Linked DNA regions of Astyanax mexicanus. The protein of the gene in region 3 binds, or shares a complex with, the protein of the main gene of each other region. Links are inferred from orthologs where the notes say so. Each region holds a gene or a part of one and is shown on either strand. Other genes may lie near its edges. The genes, in order: rbmx2, ppil2 and snrnp40.

What was found.
Region 1: snrnp40 (region 3) and rbmx2 share a complex: the UniProt entries of both Homo sapiens proteins name them as parts of the minor spliceosome. The link is inferred for Astyanax mexicanus from reciprocal best matches to the Homo sapiens genes SNRNP40 and RBMX2.
Region 2: snrnp40 (region 3) and ppil2 share a complex: the UniProt entries of both Homo sapiens proteins name them as parts of the minor spliceosome. The link is inferred for Astyanax mexicanus from reciprocal best matches to the Homo sapiens genes SNRNP40 and PPIL2.

The regions. Positions count from the first base shown.
Region 1 is NC_064424.1:17,118,869-17,122,626, reverse strand, and holds the start of rbmx2 (RNA-binding motif protein, X-linked 2), read right to left. Parts: upstream 2,466-3,758; 5' UTR 2,383-2,465; coding exon 2,378-2,382; intron 1,378-2,377; coding exon 1,262-1,377; intron 237-1,261; coding exon 185-236; intron 77-184; coding exon 1-76. UniProt on the Homo sapiens protein: Involved in pre-mRNA splicing as component of the activated spliceosome. As a component of the minor spliceosome, involved in the splicing of U12-type introns in pre-mRNAs.
Region 2 is NC_064429.1:31,212,781-31,216,538, forward strand, and holds the start of ppil2 (RING-type E3 ubiquitin-protein ligase PPIL2), read right to left. Parts: upstream 2,899-3,758; 5' UTR 2,751-2,898; coding exon 2,719-2,750; intron 1,716-2,718; coding exon 1,666-1,715; intron 1,572-1,665; coding exon 1,526-1,571; intron 963-1,525; coding exon 900-962; intron 1-899. UniProt on the Homo sapiens protein: Has a ubiquitin-protein ligase activity acting as an E3 ubiquitin protein ligase or as an ubiquitin-ubiquitin ligase promoting elongation of ubiquitin chains on substrates.
Region 3 is NC_064410.1:50,283,277-50,287,034, reverse strand, and holds the start of snrnp40 (U5 small nuclear ribonucleoprotein 40 kDa protein), read right to left. Parts: upstream 2,221-3,758; 5' UTR 2,087-2,220; coding exon 1,976-2,086; intron 415-1,975; coding exon 285-414; intron 1-284. UniProt on the Homo sapiens protein: Required for pre-mRNA splicing as component of the activated spliceosome. Component of the U5 small nuclear ribonucleoprotein (snRNP) complex and the U4/U6-U5 tri-snRNP complex, building blocks of the spliceosome.

The DNA.
Region 1 (3,758 bases), on a different chromosome or scaffold from region 3:
GCAAAGGAAGCAAAAGCCTTTGGATTTTCCCGTCTTCTTATCTCGCACCAAGTTAATATTTGCAATTTCTCCATACCTGATGGACAAAAAAAAGAGAGATCTTAAAAATCTAAACAAACAGAAAATGAGTGTTAAACAAGTCTGAATGTGTAAAACAGTGCAAAAGTAAGCCAAATTTACTTACTGTGAGAAAATACAGATGACATCTCCCTCTGTCAGCTCATATGGAAATCCACCTGCAGGGTACAGTACAATCAGGAAAACAGCAGCACGGGTCAACATGTTTCTGTCAAATTAATTCACCGAACAGATTAAGCGTTTTTGTTTATGTTAGAAACACAGAAGTGCTGAACTTTCTAACATGAGATGAACTGAGAAACAATACTAGTGTAGAGCCCCATGATTACCACAATGCAGAGAACACAGAAACAGAATCTTGGAACTTGAGGCTTAAAACCAGATTGTAGATTCCAGATGTGAAAAGTAAAAATTAAGTAAACCTTTAAAAATCTAAATAGATTTTACAGATCCCTACTAACGGATAGTACTACTGGTAGTTTTGACCCATGTTAACTGGCTTACCGAGAGAGAAGTCAAAAAGACAAAAATAAAACAAATTTTACAGAGCCCTACCAGTGGCCACTTTTAACCCAGGTTACCTGGCTAAATTAGAAAACCAGCTTTAAAGTATGTTCTCCTATTGTAACTGAACTGTTTCCAGAATTAGACAACTGCCGCCACCATCTGGCAGAACAAAAATGGCAGAATAATCAATAACAAAACCACACAACTGCAATATAACCAAAAAAGCAACATCCATATTTACTATTAAATATATTGTTAAATCTGCTGAGATACAGTAAAGCCAACAGATTAATAAAGTAAAGGTAACTGAAGGTCCAATGTCTTTTTTTTTTTTTTTTTTGTGGAAAAAAGTAGCTTGTTCCCACTTGACCTCAGTGAAAGACTCTGCTCTGCTCAGTTGGTAAGGCTTTAGTTTAGATGCTAAAACCTTGCTTAAAAAATTTAGAGCATTCATGGAGGTCCTAAAATTCTGGCTCCCCACAGACAAAGACTTGCACTGGGCATAGCAACCTCAAACTTGTGCACAGCAGCTACTAAGCGTCCCATTTTAATTTCTAATCTTTTCTATTGAATTTATGTAAGAGAAGTGTGCTAAACCTTTAGACTATCATGTAAAAATGAATGTTTAAATTTTATAAAAATTTAAAAAGTTAGTTTCCACAATTAAGTCACTCACCAATGAAAATCCAGGCACTGTCCTTGTACACTGAATGCCACGATACTGCGTCTTTAACTCCAAGTTTAGCTTCTCTCTCATTCAATTCATTGATGAGCTTCACTTTGGTAAGTGGACTGCAGAACAAAAGCAAGGAGGTTGTGATTAACTGCTAATTTCACAGATGACTTAATTCTCGTGTTGATTTTCTGTATATTTCTATATTTGTACATTTTTAACTTATTTAATTTATTTATTCATACTTTTTTCATGTATTCAGTTATTTATGTATGTATTTGTTCCTACATATGGTAACAAAGAGGGGTGTATTGTACAATATTTTCAAATAATATCAAAAATAAAACAGAAATAAATCGAAAGAAGAAAATAAAAATGTAGAAATAAAAAAAATGCAAAGTAGGAAAATACAAATATTATTCACTAATTTATATACTGAATGTATTAACTGAATTGTTTGTTTTAAACTTTTTTATTGATTCTTTCGTAATTTCTTTCTTTATTTGCTTTTATTTATTAGTTTAATAATTTACTTAGGCAGATATAGGTTAGTCCTCCAGGAACTCCTTCAAGACGCTGAGAAAATTTTGATGACTCTACCTCATAAAGACACTGAAAAAATACCAAGATCTGCAACATCATTCCTCCTGTGTTCCTGTATAACTTTACTGTCCTCAATATTAAATTCAGAATATATAAAAAGAAAGAAAACCGGTTAAAAGAGAAGAGGTGTGTCCAGGCTTTGACTGGTACAGAATATCAATGTTTGTGTTCTATTCTTATAGCTTTTACTGTGCTCCTACATTCCAGAAAATGACAATTAAATAATAATAGTAATTATTATTATTATTAAAGGGGTACACTTCGCCTAAAAGCATTGTAAGTGTAGAGTCAGAGCCCCAAACAACTGAGGCTACTGAGGTAAAGTGAGCTAACAGCTAGCTTAGCTAACCTAGCATTCCCAGCTCACTCTGTACTCTGCACTCCTTAGTAAGACTGTAATAACTAACGCTAGCTAAATAACTGACCTAGTATTAAAAGTCTCACTTGCGCTATGAAAACATAGGCAGATATAATGAATTATAGCATGAAGAGAGGGGAAATAACGCACTAACTTACTTCATTGTATCTCTGTTTAGCTCCACACATGGAAGTGGTTTTCAAAACGTCGAGGACTCAGAGTTTTCTTCCGCTGGGGAACCAGGAGGATTGTGGGAGTTGAAGTCCACTGACGGTCGCTGAATACAGTTACAGTGAAATTAAACGCTGGATTTCCCCACAGGTAAAAGTGATATAGTAGATATCGCTGTATTATCGATATAATGATTATTGGTGGAATAGAGGAATTGTTTAATCATTTTATATTAATTTTTTTGGTGTTTTCATTGAAAAACATCATTATTTCCATTGTAAGAACGTTAGATTAGGCATGAATTTGTTTTTATATTGTGATAAATGGACCAATGAACCTATAGAATTTAGAATGCTTCATTTTTGTGGTGTCGGTTTTATCAGAAAATAGATATTGCTGCCTTCAAGACTTCCTCGGATATTGCTACTTACGAGGTTGGGTTTTTTCGGTCGGGTGGAAATGGACGCCATTAGGAAAATCATTTTGTTTGTACTTTTGGTCTATTATCATAAAAAACAGGAGATATATTTTGCCCTACTCCAAGAGAATTAAGTAAATTAGACACGCATTAGGTGAGTGATGTTGTATCCCATTAGTACCGTGAATTATACTGGACTTATGTTTTAAACCTTTTTTTTTGGTTTGTTTTAAAATTGTACAGCTTAAAACCATTGCTAATAAGCTCAAGTTTTTACCGCTTACTGTAGGAGCCGCCATGACCTCTTTATACTGACACGCCCCCAACTGGGAAACTCAGGGCTTATCTCAGGTTGGATTTAAGTTGTGTCGGAAATATCATATTTACGAGATGAGAGCACATGAACACCACCACAAACTCGTATTTACCAGTGGGGAACTTGGGTTTTCAGATAAGCCCAGAGTTTCCCAGTTGGGGAACAAAGTAACAAAAGGTCATGGTGGCTACCAGTATGGACCCTACTCCTACATTAAACAGTAAAAACTTGTGAATAGCTAACTAATAAAATCAGTAGCAATGCATGAAAAAAAAACGTAAAAGTCTAGTATGATTCACAGTTCTACTAATGGGATAAAAACATCACTCACCTAATGCTTGTCGTATTCACTTTATTCTCTTGTTTTTTTTTTTTTTTTTTTGACGATAATAGACCAACAGTACAAACAAAATAATTTTCGTAATGGCGTCCATTTCCACTCAACCAAAAAAAACACTTGAACGCATGTTAAGCCATAATTATGACCTCAAACCTCGTAAATAGGACTTTCCAAGGAGGACTTGGAAAGGCAGCATAAAAATGTAAGTTTCCCACCGGTAAATACGAGTTTGTGGTGGCATTCCTGTGCTCTCATCTCATAAATAAAATATTTCCGACACGACTTGAAGGCAGC
Region 2 (3,758 bases), on a different chromosome or scaffold from region 3:
TGTAATATAATCTAAAATTACATCAATGCAACTGTGATTTAAAAAAAAAAGAATAGCAACAAAAATGCTATTTTTAGACCAGGCCTGCGGGCTACTCATAAGGTCCTTGCGGGCTACCTGGTGCCCGCGGGCACCATGTTGGTGACCCCTGCTCTACACACAAAGATATGGTGTAGAACCATTTAAACCATCAAAGAACCTTTCAGCTAAAACAGCATCAAACAGCATTTGTATTAAATTTGTCCTAAGATTAAAATCTTTGCTCAGAGAAAATAATAAAACCTTCAAATACAGATTTAAATACATAAGAATATGTTAAAATCCATAATGTTTCTATTGCACAAATAAAATCAACCTACATGAACCAAATCAGTAATTACACTAATTAGGGATGTACCAATGTGGGAAATTCTACGCTAATGCAAATATATGAAATTACACATTTATATATATATATATATATATATATATATATATATATATATATATTTATATTTATATATATATATATATATATATATATATATATATATATATATATATATTTATATATATATTTGTCGATGTCAAGGTACACATTTCTAAACTACAGAAAGACAACATACACCAGTATCACTTTATAACTTTAAAACTAATACAAATAAATGCAAACTAGCTAGTGCTAGTAGTGCAGCTAGTGACACTTGGTCCTTTTTTGCCATACAACAAATACATCAGCAAGTATTGTTTGAAATATCGTCCAAATTGTCTGATGCCAATGATTCTAAGAGATAATCAGCCGATAGCGATAAAATTCCAATATCATTGTGCATCCCTACTATTAACCCCTCAGGTGATCACCAGTATATGTGACCAGAGGACTGATACTGGGATTGTGATATTAGTGTACTTGTACTTACATGAGGTCAAAGACCACGCCTTCAGGGGTGCACATGGGATACTCAAAGGGCTGAAGAGACAAACTGAAAGAACACAAAGACCCAAACACAAGTGAGAACAGGAAACAATATATATATCCTGATTTAGACCCCACAGGATGAAAAGATATCAAATATAGCATAAAGTAATATAATATAAATTATTTTGTTCTAATACAGATCTTCCCCTAAAACGTGTTAATTCCTAGTGCAAAGACATTTGCAAAGCTTTATTACTAATAGACATGTCAATGCAAAATTTAAAATGCAAATTTATATACAGGCATATTTTGTATTTGTATAGTGGGGTTAGTTTATATAGAATCGAGGAATAGTGCTTAAGGTCAGGCTACTGGAGTGAAAAGCGACGGCTGGCTGCCTCTGAATAATTTACTGAAATGTCCTCTACTAGATTCTGCTGATCCGGTAGCCATGTGCATCCAAAAGCTATTCAGCCAAAAGCTATTCAGCAATAAATGACTGTAATTGTTAATAAAAGGACTGTAACTTTTAATAAAAGATCTGTAATTGTTAAGAAGTCTGATATCAAAAGTAGCAATAAATGAAACACACACACAAACACAGACACACCTATCTGTACAACTCACCTGCAGTGATCAAAGGGTAATCGTCTGAAATTAGCCTGTGGGATTTCTGCAGATAAAAGAAAGATCGCACTAAGTGTTAATAATAAAAAAAAAAAAGTAAAAAGGAAAAGAATGTATTGCCATGCTCCAAAAATACACACCTGCTTTCTTGCCTCCATAGAAATGTGTGTACTCTGCACAGGTGATGTACCTGAAAAATAGGAATAGTAGGAATAAAATGAGCAGCACTATTCACCACTCTTCATGAGTGAGCAGAAAGTCATATGTACCATTTATAACAAATAAACTTTGAGATTTAGACTGTAATTTGATTAGTTAAAGCTTAACACTGACATATTAAAAATCTAATTCTTACACATAAAATCAGGAAGGTCGTTGTTTATTGTCCACTAAACAGGCATAATCTCAATAATCTCTGATTAACTTAGTATTGTCCACTCAATTTGTTGACTTTATTAATATTTTAGCTTTTTTCAAAATAAATAACATCTTGCTTAAACAGCTGTGTCAATCAATCCATCATATTTATCAATTAATCAACATCTATTTTACACTGAGGGTGACCCTCGTTTTTAGCTGCCGAGCAAATAGATTAACAGGGATTGACAAGAAAAATAACAAACAAACAAACTAAACGCAACAACAACAAATACACAGCTAATGTACTCAAAGAAAAAGTTAGGTTGAAAAGATACATTCTGTTTTTTAAAGAAGCCAAATGAAAAAGAAAAGAAACTAAAGTGACGCTAAAACAAAATATTAAATAATATATATTTTAAATAATACAAATAATAACAATAATAATACCATTAAAAATAAATAGCAAATATAAACAAACAAGCATATAAACAAATTTGACAAAATATGAATTAAATATCAAGCCTATTGTCTGATTTAATATTTACTAAAACAGTTTATTTAATGATGTTTATCTAACGTTAAATTATTATAAATGATGCAGAGTAACGTTAAATTGAGAGAAAACAGATACAGTACTATCCTAGGAAAAGAGAAACATGGTTATATACATATTTTAACTAAGTTTCAGCTGTTTTATTAAATATTAAACTGAATCCTGATATTTATAGAGTTTTAAGAGTTCAGATTAACCCAGTTAGCTGTTAGGCTGAACCAGCGCAGCTAGTTTAATTCGATGAATAAAACGGATTTAATCCGGATTAATGCAGACTTACATCTTGTCCTTTTGGTGCTGCCGCTTCCCCATTGTTGTTTAATGTGTAAACAGCTCCCAAAGAGAATACACCGATAATTTACACCTAAAAACACACAGTTACAGCGCTATTAGCTTAGCTAACCTAGCTAACTGCTATAGCTACGGGTCCGGGCTAAGCGCTGTACTACAGTAACATTAGTCCGGGTTAAACACAGGAAGGCGCTTTTTGTGTCCCACTACCTTTTTGTGTTCTTTTAGGGTCCTTTGGAAATAAATAATAATATAACAATAAAAAGTCAATAATTAAATAAAAAAGTAAGTAATAACAATAATAATAATAATAATAATAATAATAATAATAATAATAATAATAATAATAAATACTATTATTATAAGCTCATGTTTGCCATCCAAATAATATTTATATTTTATTTTATTTAGCCATTTTTACTTCATTTTTACACATTTCAGAAGGTGTTTCTCTGGTTTGCCCAGTCCACCCCCATATATATATATATATATATATATATATATATATATATATATATATATATATATATATATATATATATATATATATATATCATTGTTCACTGTTCTGGATTATCGTTATTACTAATATTAGAGTACAATTGATTCTATTAAAATAATAATAACTATATATATTGTGAATGTGCTGTGTGTAAAGTGTGTAAATGCTGCATTAAAGAGTGCAGTAAAACCATCTGTTCCAATACTGCTTTACTATTATATAAAAAATAGTTCATAAACAGTGCCAGTCAGACGTTTTATTGTCTTCTCATTCACTGTGTGTTTTTCATTATTATAAATTTAATATTGAAGACCTAAAGATATGCAGGAGCACATTTTGAATTTTTCTTTAAACAAAAAAAAATCTTCCTATCACCAAAAAACAGAAAAAAAAATATTAATTTAAAAATGTTTGTAGTTCATATGATGTTGAGTTATCCATCCAGCAGGTGGCGCTATTACACTGTGGACAAAATTCACACTCCCTGCCTCTGCATTTCTATTGGCCCACATGTCCAACAGGCCTTT
Region 3 (3,758 bases):
GAGGGGGTCAAACAGATATACACATTATGTTACAGTAATTGGGTCTTTTTGACTGAGACTAGCCCATAGCAGAATAAAACCAAAACTGACCATCTACAGTTGTTGTTTTTTTTTTTAAGAATTTTGACTATATTTAATTCTGAGGCTCTGACCCCATGAAATTAGCAAATTATAAGCACCATCATGTGGTTCTTTTACCATTATGGCTCACAGAAAGAAAGACAACACAATAATAAATTAACGCTCAGTGCATTTTCACAAACGTGCTCAGAGTATAGTCTTACAGATGAGGCGGTCATATCCTGCAGAAGCTAGCATGGCTCCATTGGGATGAAACTTGCAGCAGTAGACTTCTCCTTCATGTCCAGACAGCAACATTATAGGAGCCTGTAAACTGGAGCTGCGAGGAGGACCCTGACAAAATAATGCTTTGGTTAATATAAGGAAACAATTTTCAAACTGAGGCAAAGAATTGTTATAACAACTATTAACAAATTATTAACTAAAATAACACCAGTTATACAGATACTAACTTAGTTCCGAGTTTTACATACCAATAACAGTATTTAAGCTATTGTATTAAAGCTATTTAACACTGCACATATGTTGAATGCATTTTTACTGGCTATTAGAACTAAATTAGAGATATGTTTGAATAAACATATAATAAACGCTCTTTTTTATTGCAGTACATCATTTCAGGTTAATGATTGTTTTTCTATCTTAATTTTACAATCCTTCACTGGCATCGTTGAAATTCTGACATTGATTCAATGTTTATTTAGACTACCAGATACTGAAAGCAGAGGCTCATATACTTTTGCCACTCACAAATACAGCTCTGGAAAAAATTAAGAGAACACTTTAAAATAATCTGTTTCTCTGATTTAACTATTTATAGGTATATGTAGTTTCTATAAACTACGGACAACATTCTTCAAAATTCCAATTAAAAATATTGTAATTTAGTGCATTTATTTGCAGAAAATAAGAAATGGTCAAATTAACGATAAAGATGCCATGCTTTCAAACCTCAAATAATGCAAAGCTAAACAAGTTCGCCTTTATTTAGAAACAACAACAATACTAAAGTTTAATCTAAAGAAGAGTTCAGAACGAAGCAAGTTTTCTTCCAGGGTAACCTTGTATACGGCTTGAATCATGTGTCATTCACAAAAACCAAACTGCTCAATTCCATCCTTGCTGAAGCATCCCCAGATCATTAATGATTTTCTACCAAATGTCACAGTGGGTGCAAGCTGTGTCTTTTACATCTTTGCAGGTCTCCATCTAAACATTTGATGGCCATGTGTTGAGCAAATCTGAAAATTAGACTCATTAGAGAAGATGACCTTACTCCAGTCCTCTATAGACAAATTTGGAAACTTTAGCCTGGTTCTTTTTTTGCTTCTCATTGGAGAATGTACTTTTTCTAGCCCGCCTCTGAGAGATTGTTTTGAACTGTTCTTTCCATGCACTTCAACCCAGCTGCCATTTGCCATTCTTTTTATAGGTCACTTAATGTTATTCTGCGGTTGCTGACAGACATTCAAATAAGTTGACGGTCAATCTTCAGACCTGAAGTGGTCTCCTTTTTTCCCAGAGCTGTGTGTAATATTGGATAATTTTCCTAAATAAATAAATGGCAATGTATAATATGTTTAATATCTTTACCTACTTTAAGACTTGTTTGAAAATCTGATGATGTTTTAGGTCATATTTATGAATAAATACAGAACATTCGAAAGGGTTGTGCTCCAGGTGATAGGAATGGCTTTATTAGATTGATCTGTAGAGCTGATATTATTCCTAAACCAGTACATCATACCACATCTGAAACAAAAGTTTCTACTACAGAAATCTGGTGTGGTTACTCCAGACATACCACACTGTAGTGTACCTCATAATTGTACAGTGTTTTACAGTAATATCTCCCTGTCTGTGTTTTTTACCAGATTATCAGACTGTTAGTTACCATGGTGGCGATCTGCTGGTTCTGCGCTGCGGCCACCAGCTCGCTCCTCGGTCTCTTCACGGCGGCGGGAACCAGCGCCATGTCCGCGCCGCGCTTTTTCGGCTCGATCATGGTGTTTAGCGGCGGGGTCTCTCGGGGTGAGGCGGGGGTATGAGCTGGAGCCGGGGGTCGGGGTTCTCTGTATGAGTTTAAATTCAGCTGAACGGATCTCCTCACCGTCCACCATTAACACCACGCCGGGGTGAAATACAAACACTTCCGGTGATATCGGGGCGTTTGATTGGTCCGTTCATGTTTGCCGGCTCCTGATTGGCTGTTGGCCGTGCGGAGGCCCATTTGAACAGGAAGTTGTAAGCGGAGCAGAACAACAACACGAGCCCTGCACGAGTTTATTCAGTGTGTGTTACTGAAAGTATAGGCTGATTATTTGCTGACCTATTGGTTTATTTAAGTATTTTAACTGCATGAAATGCTTAATTTATCCTAAACTAAGATCTACCGACTTCATAAAAGCTCCTCCAGCCTTATTCTTCATCCACAAACCGGTTCCGTTCTCTCCCATCTGACCTGGATTCACCTGAAGAAAGCAGTAAGTTCAGCAACGTTTCCTTCTATTATTGGTTTATATATAATAGATGTTTATAATGGACAGTTCTTAAATTAAAATGTAATCTAAAATGTAGCATGCTTTTTTAAATGAAGAGCAGATAATTCAGTTCATAGTGACATAAGCTATGGAATTTTATTCTCTCTTATTTATAACTACATTTTAACTAGTAGAAATTGCAATACCAGATATCCACAGCAATTTATAGTAGTGAAAACTGTATAACCGTGTTATTGCTAGTTAAAACTCGAATAAATAATATCTAAAACTTTAACACTGCATACACAGGTCCTTCTCAAAAAATTAGCATATTGTGATAAAGTTCATTATTTTCTGTAATGTATATATTTTAGATTCATTACACACAACTGAAGTAGTTCAAGCCTTTTATTGTTTTAATATTGATGATTTTGGCAAAAAAGTAAAAAAAAAAAAAAAAAATCTCAAAGAATTAGCATATTTCATCCAACCAATAAAAGAAGTGTTTTTAATACAAAAAAGTCAACCTTCAAATAATTTTGTTCAGTTATGCACTCAATTCTTGGTCGGGAATCCTTTTGCAGAAATGACTGCTTGAATGCGGCGTGGCATGAAAGCAATCAGCCTGTGGCACTGCTGAAGTGTTATGGAGGCCCAGGATGCTTCGATAGCGGCCTTAAGCTCATCCAAAATGTTGGGTCTTGCGTCTCTCAACTTTCTCTTCACTATATCCCACAGATTCTCTATGGGGTTCAGGTCAGGAGAGTTGGCAGGCCAATTGAGCACAGTAATACCATGGTCAGTAAACCATTTACCAGTGGTTTTGGCACTGTGTGCAGGTGCAAGGTCATGCTGAAAAATGAAATCTTCATCTCCATAAAGCTTTTCAGCAGACGGAAGCATGAAGTGCTCCAAAATCTCCTAATAGCTGGCTGCATTGACCCTGCCCTTCATAAAACACAGTGGACCAACACCAGCAGCTGACATGGCACCCCAGACCAACACTGACTGTAGGTACTTGACACTGGACTTCAGGCATTTTGGTATTTCCTTCTCCCCAGTCTTCCTCCAGACTCTGGCACCTTGATTTCTGAATGACATGCAAAAATTGAGCAACAGTCCAGTGCTGCTTCTCTGTAGCCCAGGTCAGGCGCTTCTGCCGCTGTTTCTGGTTCAAAAGTGGCTTGACCTGGGGAA